Linked DNA regions of Saccharomyces cerevisiae S288C. Changing the gene in region 3 together with the main gene of any one other region gives a genetic interaction. Each region holds a gene or a part of one and is shown on either strand. Other genes may lie near its edges. The genes, in order: OCH1, ALG11 and MNN1.

Region 1 (3,802 bases), on a different chromosome or scaffold from region 3:
GTAGCGGCTCAACCTTTTTGACAAAAAACTGCTGCAAGTGCGACAACCGCAAAACCAAAAATTTATTAGGATTCCAATTTAATAAGTTCAGAGATTGCATTGTCGATACTGCCTCGCAATTACTAGAAGTTCAAAGTAAAAGCTAAAATTAAGCTTTCGAGAAAAACTTTCTTTTAACCCCTCTAATCTAAATATAAACATATAGCTTATAGAAATGAATGAATATTTTAAATAGTTACGGATACAAAGAGTTCATTATAGTGCGGGCAGTTAGTACGGTATCGATTTATCATTGGAGATCTGCAGTGTTACAGAAGCACTGCTCACCAGTTGTCTACGGAAGGACGTTGAGATAGTTTTACCACGTTTGAGCTAAAAGTTTCTACCACAAGAGCCTTTATTTGCACATGGCAGTGAATGCATGATTAAGGATATGAAGAAGAAAGGAATAACTAGGAATAAATTTTATTTAGAGAGGGTATGATGAAAGGAGAGCCTCGTTATTTATGACCTGCATTTTTATCAGCATCTTCTTTCCAGCTCCCGCTAAACATGTGCTTTACAAAAGCCATTTTGTCGTCACTAGACTGGGCGCCCATCTGCCCCACATCTGGTGAAAAACTTGTTATTGGTAGAACCATCACATCATCAACGATAACTGGTTCTTTCAAAAAAGAGAAGAATTCCCAGGGCATTGAATTTGACGATTGCAAAGACTCTGATATTTTCTTATAAAATTTTCTTGTTGATTTGGACAGCGTATCGTTATCAACATCTTTTGCTGGTGTGGTGGCACTCTCACTACCTTCTTCGTCGTTCTTGTTTAGGTTTGGGTTGATTAACAAGATATCGCTATTGTATCGGAGCACATTGTTCATGTATTCGAAAATAATGTCGGAGAAAATACCTGGACCCGTCCAATTCATTATATCTGAGCCATCAACATTTTTGTTATTTTTCAATTCGGAGTGTTTGTAGGTCTCATCATGACGTCTTTTGTGCCTATAGTTTACGTTGTAGTCTTCTTCAAATCTTGGATCAATCATTTCACTGACAGGAACTCCTGGGTTTTGTACGCTCGCCAAAGTCGTTGCAGTAATATTTAAGATCAATTCTCTTAGAATTGGGTGACCTGGTTTGGCTTGGATAGTCCATTGACAAAACTGGATCCTACGAGCATACCATTCACTCCAATCATCTCTGTCCGGATCTGCCTCAATGCCGATGACCAAACCTGGCTGGTGTGATATCTCATCACTTGAGAGAAGTGAGGGCTTTGAGTTCTTATAAGGAATAGGTTTATTCAAATCTATTATGTTGTTTAGCCATGACTTATTCTGAGAAGGCCATGAATCAATTGGCTTCAAAAGCATAGTATCCATATCTGAGTAAATACCACCTCTTGCAAATAATAATAGGTACCTTAAAAAATCTGCCTTTAGGATATTTCCAGGCATCAATTTAAACGCTTGGATGACTATCGGAACGGGTGCGTAAAGATTCTCCAAAAAAGGGATAATAGAATCATCCGAAATCAGAGAATATTGGTAATCCGGTGAATACGAACCAGACCATGTTTTTTGATAGGTTCTGAACGAAGAGGGAAAATTCTTATCATCTGCGCCGACTTTCCAGGTCTGCCACACCCTTTGCGGGATGGGGGCCTGAGAGTCGTAGGGAAACGCAAACGATAATTGATCACGTAAATTATGCAATTGATTTTTTTTCTTGTTAACTGTAATTTGTTTCTTCAAATTTATATCTTGTGAATGAGAAGTCGTAGGGAGAAGAGTTTGCTTGAAATCATCTTTGCTAGGGTAAAACTGAGAAAGCAGCCTTTTGTTTGACAAGTGAAATGTCAACAAAGAATAAATAAGAAGTACGGTTACGACTATTGTTTTTGATTTCCTTGTAGCGATCAGGTGGGACAACTTCCTAGACATGATCTCTTCTTTCTTTTACTTGCTTTCTTTTTCCAAATTGCTATTATTGCTCTTGAAATGAAAACGGAATCAAAGAACTAAAACAACCTATCCCTATTAAATATAAAAGGATGCAGATGGGGAGAGAGAATGTGGATTGGCGAGAAATAATGTCGGTATTCGAAGAAGGCAGAAATACTAAAGTGGCTACCAAGCTACCAAACTACCTTAATGCAGAAGTTTTGACGTTGCTGTCCCTGCAACGTGAAAAGTCCAAAAAGGCGCGTTTAGTTGAGGCCCAGCCAAATCTTTTCGCGGTGGGCCGGCCAAATAGTTTAAGCAATTTACCCAAAAAAGAATAAAGAGAGGCGTAAAGACGTTAGTTAATATTTTATTATTCCTTCTCCATATGTCGGAATTCGGTGTACATACATATATATAGATATTGTTATATAGATTTGTGCATTTGCAAGCCACCCTAGTTCATCAGGTTGAAGAAGTATTATTCAGCTCTTATTTATCCACGACATTGATGTTGTGGGCCTTCAACTCTTCCTTAACCTTATTGATGACTTCGGGATCATCGCTGATGGGTCTTGTGTAATCCAGCAGGACAGTGGTCTTATAACCTAGTTCTGCAGCGGAAATGGCGGTGGCTTTGACACAATACTCCAAAGCTACACCGACAATGTAAACCTCGTCTGTATGATGCTTTTCTAAGTACTTGTTCATGTCGGTCTTATGGAAGTTCCAGATGTCGTGGAAGGCGGAGTAGTATTCACGGTCAGTCAAGAAACCCTTGTCGACAATCTTAATATGCTTAGTGACCACTTGGTCCATTATTTGGTCAACCAATTGACTACCCCAGGTGTTTTTCACACAGTGTACGGGCCACAAAATACCCTCTTGCGTGGAATCATCGCCTGGCCTTGGAGAGTGGTAGGTGTATGTTGAATAGGGTTCTTTATCTTTATGGTTCTTTGCGAACGAAATATGTCTGGAAGGGTGCCAATCTCTGGTGACCACAATCCTGTGCCAGTCTCTATCAGCATCTTGCATCAAATCCGAGATAGGATTGATTAATTCCTCACCTTTTGGAACAGTCAAGGAACCTAAAGGTGAAATAAAATCATTTTGCATATCAACAACAATTAAAGTCTTCATTTTTGTACTGTATTTTATTCTTTCTAACAAAGATATAGATAATCGTAAAAGAAAGTTTTGTTTGAAGGTTTCCTCACCTATTGCATCCAACCAGGTACCAGTTAAGAGTACATTGTATATGAAAATATATATATGAGTAATATATATATATATAGTTTTATTAATAACTATTAGCACATCATAATCGTATCTGGAGACACATACATAGTGGGCCAAACGGAAACCCCTGCCCCTTGAAGAACTTTTTTTTCATAATTCACTTTTCCAGTACGTAACACCACGCGGCGCCCCTTTGTGGGGCCTGCCCCTTTTTTTTTTTCTTTCTTTTTTTTCGGAAACATTCCGCGAGATTTCGGCACGTCCCAAATGATATCGAGCTAACACGTATAAAGCGATAACGTATATAACGACGTATGATTTTAGCAACGGAAGACGTTAACAATGACATATGGATATTTATTTATATATATAATATAAAAATTTCATTACCCTGTGTGCCACCTTGATCCTTGACTTAATATATTTTTTTCTGCTTGGATCTCGGCGGCAGTTTTTTCTGTTTCATATAAGGAGGATCGTAGGGAAAGAGGAAAACAAAAGGCATAATTAACCAATAGCAACAATATAAGCAGTACAGAACCCTCACCACCAGAATGCAGAAGTGTGCTGGCCATGCACCACTGGTGACTGCAGCCTCGCGGGTCTCCCAAGACACC
Region 2 (3,978 bases), on a different chromosome or scaffold from region 3:
CAGGGCAAGAACAAGTTTATATTGCGTACGAATTCTAACGGACTAATACATAGGGGTCACAACTGGGTATTCAAAGTAGACTCTTATGACGATATGATAGAATGGTTTGGAAATATCAAAGCCTTATCAAGTTTGCCCAACTATGACGACAAATGCAAATATGTGAGTAAAGTTGCCAAACTGTCTAAAGAAAAAGCCAAGAGTAATGAAAACACCACGGAGAGCGTGACCCCCCAGGTAACTAATGAGCAACATACGAGATACGATGATGTGAGTAGTAGCAATTTTCCCTTGAATTCCATTCCAAAATTAGACAATTTGACAATCACTAACACCACGTCATCGATACCGGAAACGAATGATTCACAAATTCAGAATAGGGTTCCTGAATTTTACATTGAAAATGTAGATTCCCCTAGAAAAAGCAATCAGCTGTGACAAGTAAGTTAATTATATAGTAATGCTCTAGTTTGTATGTAATATTATGTATAAGTTTTCTCATAAACAAGGCTTCTATTTTCAAAAAACATCAGCCCCTTTCCTCCTCTTCTAATAATTTACAAATAGGATTCAGTACAAAGTTTTCCCAATCTTTATCAAACTTCAAATCAGAGAATTTATACAATGAATACTGCTGGTTTCTTGCGCCCATCACCCTTAGGCAGTCATAGTCCAGTTTCGTAATTTGTAAGAAAAGGTCGGACAAATTAGGGTATCTCAGAGGATCTTTGGTTGTGTTATAATCAGGATCACTCGGCTCTTTAAAGAAAAATCCAGTAGTTTCACCATCATCTTCGAGTTTTGCAAAATATTTCTTTTGTAACTCCCATTGTGGTGGAGCTTTTCCGATATTCCCGTTGGCATCCCATGGAGTAACTATATCTAACAATGGGCCCGCCGAGGCATGAACTATGGGGATCAAACCGGAAGCCATATACTCTACAACTGCAATTCCAAAGTGCTCATTCCACATGGCATTAACACCGAAAGTAGATTTGTTTAGTAATATTTCAATCTTATCGAAGGGCAGATTTTTTTCGAATGATATCAAATGTTTAGGAATTTTTAATACATTTTCTGACCAGTCTTGTAAACTTTTAACATAATTTTCATCTTGCTTGGATCTAGTGGACCCCGCCATTATCAATTTAATTGGCGATACAGAATCCGGTAAATTTTTCAAGAAAGTTGCAAAGGACTCAATGATTAACTTATGACGTTTCTCAGGACGAAATTGTGCCAACACAATTGCTTGATTTAATCTCTCACCCTTTGCAGTACCAAACTTTTGCTTCCAATCTACTAATTTCTCAGTAGAGCATGGAGGATATATAATTTTACACGTATTGGATTGCCAAATTTGCTTTATGTGGTTATTTGTCCATGTTGAGTTTGTGATTACAATATCAATTTTAGAACCAATGGATTGATAAATTAACATAAAAACTTTCCAGTATAATATTTTACCGTAAACTTTGATACCCTTCTTGGGCATTTTGAACAGCTTATTTAACATGTCTTTTGACATTATCGGATAATGCGTATATGTGACGATAGGAATTCTCCTCAAAAACCTAGCAATAATAGGATAGCTGAAAGGGTACCCCATTGTATCAATCCATATATCAGGTGGACACTGAATAATGGATTCAAATGCGAGAATCATTGATCCAATTGCTTGTCCAATCAACGTGAAATGCTTCCATGTTGAAGAATCCACCAAGTATCTTAGCTTCAATGAAATGAAAAATATTCTATCCGAATCCAAGTCGTAATCGAACTTCGCTTTCACATTATTTAGAATATTCTCCGGAGTAACATTCTCTCCATTCACAAAATCCCCTGAATAAATGACAATAACGTTCTTAGCATCTTTTCTCAAAGTGATATCTACAGCTTTCCAGAGCACTTTTTCCCCACCACCACCAGCATTACAATACGGATGAAAAAAACCAAAAACTTTCACATTCTTCTCACCACAGGAGGCAACTGCTCTGTTCAGTAATGAAGATTTTTTGGAGAACGGATTCAAGCTGGAATACACCCATTGACGGAAGATCCACGTGAGAACCTTAATTAGTCCATACACTAGTACTAAAGATGATACAACATATTTTTTGAACCCAAAATGAGACTTAACCTCTTCAAAATTGTAGTTTGTCCAAGCACTGCCCATTTTCGCCTGCAATCACCTGAACATGTTGGTCACACTTGGATACTAACATCTATCTTCACTTCACTTACCTCTCAATCTTATTATTTATTGAACTTTTCACTTTTTGTTTAGCTTACCCGAAGGACATAGATGTAGCGATGACAACGATGAATGATACGTCAGTTAAAAGGGTCTTCGTCGAACTCTTCATCTAACCCTTCATTTGCAGTGTGCTTGGTTGATGAACCTTCTTCCATTAATGATCGACAGCTGCAGTGAATAATGTCTCATCATAAGAAGAGGGTGTACCCTCAAGCTCAGGTGCCATACATTGCAAGTATGCCAATAGTTGCAGAGCAACAGCAGTCTCAACAACAAATCGACCAAACAGCTTATGCAATGGGCAACCTACAATTGAACAATAGGGCTAACTCATTTACACAGCTAGCTCAAAATCAACAGTTTCCTGGTTCTGGGAAAGTGGTCAATCAACTATACCCTGTGGATTTGTTTACAGAATTACCTCCGCCAATCCGTGACCTGTCTTTACCACCTCTTCCAATCACCATTTCTCAGGATAACATTGTGACTCCATCCGAATATTCAAATGTTCCATACCAGTACGTCAGATCTACTTTGAAAGCGGTGCCAAAAACAAACTCTCTGCTGAAGAAAACGAAGTTACCATTTGCCATTGTTATTAGACCATATTTGCATTTGCAAGATTCAGACAACCAAGTACCGCTAAATACTGACGGAGTCATTGTCCGCTGTCGCCGTTGTCGTTCATATATGAACCCTTTTGTCGTTTTCATTAACCAAGGGAGAAAATGGCAATGTAATATATGCCGTTTCAAAAATGATGTCCCATTTGGGTTTGATCAGAACTTACAAGGCGCTCCAATCAACAGATATGAAAGAAACGAAATTAAAAACTCTGTCGTGGATTACTTGGCTCCCGTAGAATATTCTGTTAGGGAACCCCCACCATCTGTTTATGTATTTCTTTTAGATGTTTCTCAAAACGCTGTCAAAAATGGTTTATTGGCTACTTCTGCCAGAACCATTTTAGAAAACATAGAATTTCTACCAAATCATGATGGAAGGACCAGAATTGCTATTATATGTGTTGATCATAGCCTTCATTATTTTTACGTTCCTTTGGATGATGATTATGAAGTATCGGATGAGGATGATGAAGAATCAGATGGTGAAGAAGAAGATGAAGACGAGGAAGAGGAAGACGTTGATAATTCAGAAACAATTCAAATGTTTGATATTGGCGATTTGGATGAACCATTTTTACCAATGCCGAGTGATGAATTAGTAGTTCCACTAAAATATTGTAAAAATAATCTGGAAACATTGTTGAAAAAGATACCTGAAATTTTTCAAGACACACACAGTAGCAAGTTTGCACTTGGACCTGCCCTAAAAGCTGCGTCAAATTTGATAAAAAGCACTGGAGGCAAAGTTGAAGTCATTTCATCAACTTTACCAAATACTGGCATCGGGAAATTGAAAAAAAGAAGTGAACAGGGCATATTAAACACACCAAAAGAAAGCTCTCAGCTACTGTCGTGTAAAGATTCCTTTTATAAAACATTCACAATTGAGTGTAATAAACTACAAATAACAGTGGACATGTTTCTGGCATCAGAGGACTACATGGACGTTGCCACTCTATCTCACCTGGGCCGTTTTTCTGGTGGTCAAACACATTTTTATCCTGGTTTTAATGCCACCAGTTTGAACGATGTTACTAAGTTTACTAGGGAATTATCAAGGCATTTATCCATGGATATTTCAATGGAAGCTGTTAT
Region 3 (4,744 bases):
ACAACATATAGTATAATGCTTGTTTTATTGTCCCTTAGTATTGAACGCATACAATGGTCATAATGCGAGTATGTGCACTAGTTAAATATGAAAAGAAATTACCCAAAAGATTACTGCACAGTTATTTACACTAGAAAGTAATATCAGGTAAACATTACGATTATAATTAGTACCTATTATCACAGGTACTTAAGCGGCCTTTTTATGCTGTTGGAAGCCCAATAGTTTTATCTAAGATAAAAGCTTTCAATGACTCTTTGACGTAGACTTTCTGAATAAGAGAAATATAAAACTTGCCTGAAAAAAAAGAATAAAAAATAAAAGAAAAAGAAAACCTTCACCAGATTCTCAACAATTATTAAGTTAATTTGATTATTAAAAGAGTAAAAAAAATATATATACGTATATGTAGCATTATGCCAATATGAATTACTATTATTTATCAAATCGATCGAAAGCATTGTGTATTACCTTCTTTTCTAGAGGTTTATGTGCAAAGTGAGGTAATTCCAATAAAACTCCTAACCGTCAAAGTGTAATAAACAAGGTTCTTAAAAAACTACGTCCGATATGCTTTACTATACATGTTCACAAAGGCTAGTACCATAAACAGTTAGAAAAAACACTGGTTAATGCATTCTAGCTTTGTTCGTGTCTAGAATTTTCTAATTCCTTGATCTCTTCTTCAGTGAATGATCTGGTGTTATCTTTATTAGCATGTGACCAAACAGTGTTGACAGCATCAATATGTAGGCGCTGCTCCTCATCTAGAGTTATTAATTCGCCGTGAGTGGTTCTGTGGTTATAACTATATGGCTTTAGGAGGGTTTTATGTGTGGCACACCATATATAACCACCACAAGCACCTGCAGAGGCCCTATGCCAATCATCAGATTTTGGATCAGGTAAGATGACATATTTGCTGCTGATTGGAGTTATGTAATAATATTTTTCCATTTCTTCAAAAGTCTTGAATTGATCTTTGAATTTCTTAAAGTCGCCATCTTTTTTCCAATCATCTTTAGCAGCATTATCGTGTTTACAAAAGGTACCTCCACCGTTAACCCAAAGTAAAGTTTTCTTATCAGTAGACATATGTGCTATTTGCCCGGAACATATTTCGACTGCAGCTTCTTGCCTCTTTCCGTTCAAGTCGGTTTTCTTTACATAATCACCAATAGCTCCGGAATACACTCCCTGCAGTGCATAAGTGTGACCTGCGGCCAAGAACCCTAACCAGAAATTCTCTTTATCACCATGTGTGCAGTGGGCTGTATTTTTGGCCAAATGAATCATAGCAGCAAGCACTAGGGGGATCGTGTGTTTTGATTTGTCGACAGCAAATAAACCAGCTTCTAACTGGTGCTGCCTTCTATGATGAAAAAAAGCTTTGAATATGTACTCTTCTGTAGTTAAAGTATTGTCACATTCGTTGAGAGCATGATCAGGATCGATAAGAAGTGAGTTTTGGAAATTTTTAGATTCAAGGTTTCTAGGCAATAGAGTTTCATATCTAGCAATACATCTTTCATTCACGTTTTCTCTTAGCGCCCTTTCCCTGTAAAATACAGTTCCTGTCTTCTGGTATTCAGTGGTCTTGAAGTAGTTATCAATTTTTTCATAACTAATAGCATCAATATCTAAAAAGACAAATTCTTGCAAAAGATTGAGTAGAACCACTAGCCATTTACTTTTATAACTACCGAAGTCACCTCGCCACTTAGGGTGGATGGTATTAGAAACATCTAGGAACCAAATTTCTTGTGGAACATTGGTAGAATTATCGTAATTATTTTCTACTGGTTTGAAATCAGGACTTCTAGCAGCATATATAAGTTTGTCCACTAGTTCTTGCGACAGCTCATCGCCTCTATAGACCACTTGGATCGGTAAAGTATTCCCTTCAAATCTCAAAGAAGCAATAAATTTGACAGCTAATGGAAATTGGTTGGAACCTAAACTCAATACAATACCACGACCGGCTACTTTGGCGCTCATATCCCTCCAATTGGCCCAGAAGGTTTTTGATGGATCGTATTCATATTTGAAATACTCCTGCACTTTACCAGTTTTATGATCGAACTTGGGTAAGAAGCCTTGCTCTAATACTTTTCCAAAAGGTGATGTGATTTTTGGAACCATCTCATGAAAAGTCTCTGTGGTAAAGTTATTTATAAACGGAAACATTTTGTGCTCGAATTCGAATTGATCGTATTTCTTAAAATTGTCTGGATCATAATTAGGGAAAGTAGCATTTAAGGTTTTGATTAATTTTGATTGAACCCTCTCTTTCGACATCTTATCACTTTTCGGAAAAATTTCTTGAATATTAACTGGATTGGCCTGCATAAAACATCTATCATAGGCTCTTATTCTCTCAAATGCCTGGAACATATCATATTTCCGGCGATACAATCTCTCGGATTTCTCATCCATTGGATTTCCATTCGCATCTTTACCTTCGTCAACTCCTTCATTATCATTTATGCTGTACTCCAGTTTCTTCACACTATTAGTCCATTCATCGTCTAGCGTATACAGTGTCCGGAAATAAAATTTACATCTATCAGTTAAGCTTAATTCGTTGAAATGCTTATAATAGCCCTTCTTATTGATTAGCCAACTAGAACTCCTTTTAGTATCTATAGACTGGTCATAAAATGGAACTAATTCTAGTGGCGATACTGGAATTGTATCCACTGGGTCGACCTCAGGAGAGCCGAAGGCTTCAATAAGAACCTTAGGATCTGCATCTTTCAATGTTTTCTTGTTTGTACTGTTTACATTGCTTGATCGTATAAGCGCATCATTTCGGTGGGTAACTAGTTGGAATAGCACGAGAATAATGATCAAGGCTCCGACTAGAATCGGTATGGTACACGATCTCAAAGACCTTTGGTTTAATATAAATCTCCGGAGTGCCAACATTTAATACACAGTAACACTTTCTTAAACTAGCGTTAAATACCGCAAGATTACGTTTTTCGAGAGTACGAAGCAAGACCAGGACATTTAGCATTACGAATATTATTTATTTCACTTATGAGTCCTTTTTATAATACCTCCTTAATATAATCTTGCCTAATACATTGCAACGTTTTCGCAAAAGAAGAAACTCAAGGCTTAAAGAAGAAAAGGTAGACTTTGCGGTGGCGCCGGAGCCTCATTCTGAGATACCTTAAAAGGTTGAATATCAACTCAAAATGTCAGTAGCTCATCGTTCTGCGAGAGCGTGTCTAAAGATAAGCCGATAGTTTGTATCCTATTTAGGTTAAAAGCACGTGGCACGAGAAACGCGCACGCACTTTCCACCATTTTTCTGCATGGTGGCGGTCCGGCCAATTGAGACCTCGCAATGATTAAGTCTTCCGAGCGCCAGGGTTCGAAAAGTGGGATGCCTTGGTTGTTTTCTTTTTTTTTTCGCGATTGTTTTACAACTTAATAGGTGTTGCCCAACTATTCGTAAAAGGATCAGTGAGTCAGTAGTGAGCAATATATGCAGAAAGAGTACTTTTTTTTTTTTCTGACGCAGAAGAGAGAGTTCCTATCTCAGGGAGAGAAACTTCAATGTATTAGGTTTTCTTCGGATCCGTGGGCACTTCTTGCCGCGTTTGCATATGCAGAAAGAAATGAAGAAAAAAGAAAATGAATTAAAACGCGAAATAAAGCGATGCCGCTATAATGGAAAAAAAGGAGTCGCGACATATGTATATGCATTCATCGTTCTCATATATTGCACGTTCCGACCACGATTATAGAGTCATCTACCATACACCATTATTATACTTTCTCTTCCTATCTGTCCAACATTTCTAGATAAGCCTTACTACGCTATCAAATGGTTAGTCTTGCTGTCTTCTAAATTTAGATCTCTTTCGTTGTTCGTCCATAAGGGTTCTTTCTTGATGCAGGATATGCATTTACGTTATTTTTTGTACGTCGTACTCTGGCTTATCGATGAATACAGACATTGAATAGCTAGTGATATTTTATCGGAAACGTGTACCGTGAAATGGTAAAAGTTTTGTTTGACTTTGAGCCAAAGTAGTTACCATGGTTGTTTTTTTCTTAATCTTGAAGGTAATCAGGATAAAGAGAATTACAACCATGTTCGTAGCTAAAAATCTCCTTATAGCTAACAACTGCTATTTATGTGCGGCTTTGTCAGCAGGAATTATACCGCATTTCCTTGATTTACTGTCTTAAGCTCACCTTCAACATTGTTTAGCAGTAACATTGTACTTTATTTTTAAGGAATAGTTTAGTTGAAACGCCAACAGTGGCTTGCACTAAACAAGACTTTATACTACGTTTAGTTTTTCTTTTCCTTTTCTTGAAACCTTTTTTTCTTTTCGGAAATCTAATACTGCTACAATTTTTATATATTTTTCAAATTTTTTATTTAATAAATATTGAAATAGAAAATGAAATTAAATTTATATTTTTTAAAAAGCACGTGATTAATTTGATGTTTCATAGAAATTTTAGTTTAATATTGAATCAGTCATTTACAGATTCATAGTTCTTAAATAAAACATATCTCGGACTTATGTAGCATGTAGGAGAGATGTATTTTTGCTTGGCCCTTTGTTTACCAATTAATCACATCTGCATTGAATGGGCTTGATGGTAGGCAAGCGTTCCCCTGTTAATGAAGAAACCCATTCAACAAGGAAGAAAAGTGGACTAATTTGATATTTCAATGTGTTAGTTAAAGCAAAAAGAATTCAAGAGTAAATATTTG

What was found.
Region 1: of MNN1 (region 3) and OCH1, changing one enhances a phenotype caused by changing the other (phenotypic enhancement), as found in Saccharomyces cerevisiae (2 studies listed by BioGRID).
Region 2: of MNN1 (region 3) and ALG11, changing one enhances a phenotype caused by changing the other (phenotypic enhancement), as found in Saccharomyces cerevisiae (one study listed by BioGRID).

Annotation. Positions count from the first base shown.
Region 1 is NC_001139.9:424,862-428,663, forward strand, and holds OCH1 (initiation-specific alpha-1,6-mannosyltransferase), read right to left. Parts: upstream 1,944-3,802; coding exon 501-1,943; downstream 1-500. Other genes in the region: YGL039W (carbonyl reductase (NADPH-dependent)), read left to right, coding at 1-146; PNC1 (nicotinamidase), read right to left, coding at 2,436-3,086; VIR1 (Vir1p), read left to right, coding at 3,740-3,802. UniProt on the Saccharomyces cerevisiae protein: Mannosyltransferase involved in outer chain elongation of asparagine-linked oligosaccharides of the type Man(9)GlcNAc(2). Adds the first alpha-1,6-mannose to the Man(8)GlcNAc(2) and Man(9)GlcNAc(2), but not Man(5)GlcNAc(2), endoplasmic reticulum intermediates.
Region 2 is NC_001146.8:536,371-540,348, reverse strand, and holds ALG11 (alpha-1,2-mannosyltransferase ALG11), read right to left. Parts: upstream 2,177-3,978; coding exon 530-2,176; downstream 1-529. Other genes in the region: SLM2 (phosphatidylinositol 4,5-bisphosphate-binding protein), read left to right, coding at 1-438; COPII subunit SFB2, read left to right, coding at 2,438-3,978.
Region 3 is NC_001137.3:151,704-156,447, reverse strand, and holds MNN1 (alpha-1,3-mannosyltransferase MNN1), read right to left. Parts: upstream 2,929-4,744; coding exon 640-2,928; downstream 1-639. UniProt on the Saccharomyces cerevisiae protein: Responsible for addition of the terminal mannose residues to the outer chain of core N-linked polysaccharides and to O-linked mannotriose. Implicated in late Golgi modifications.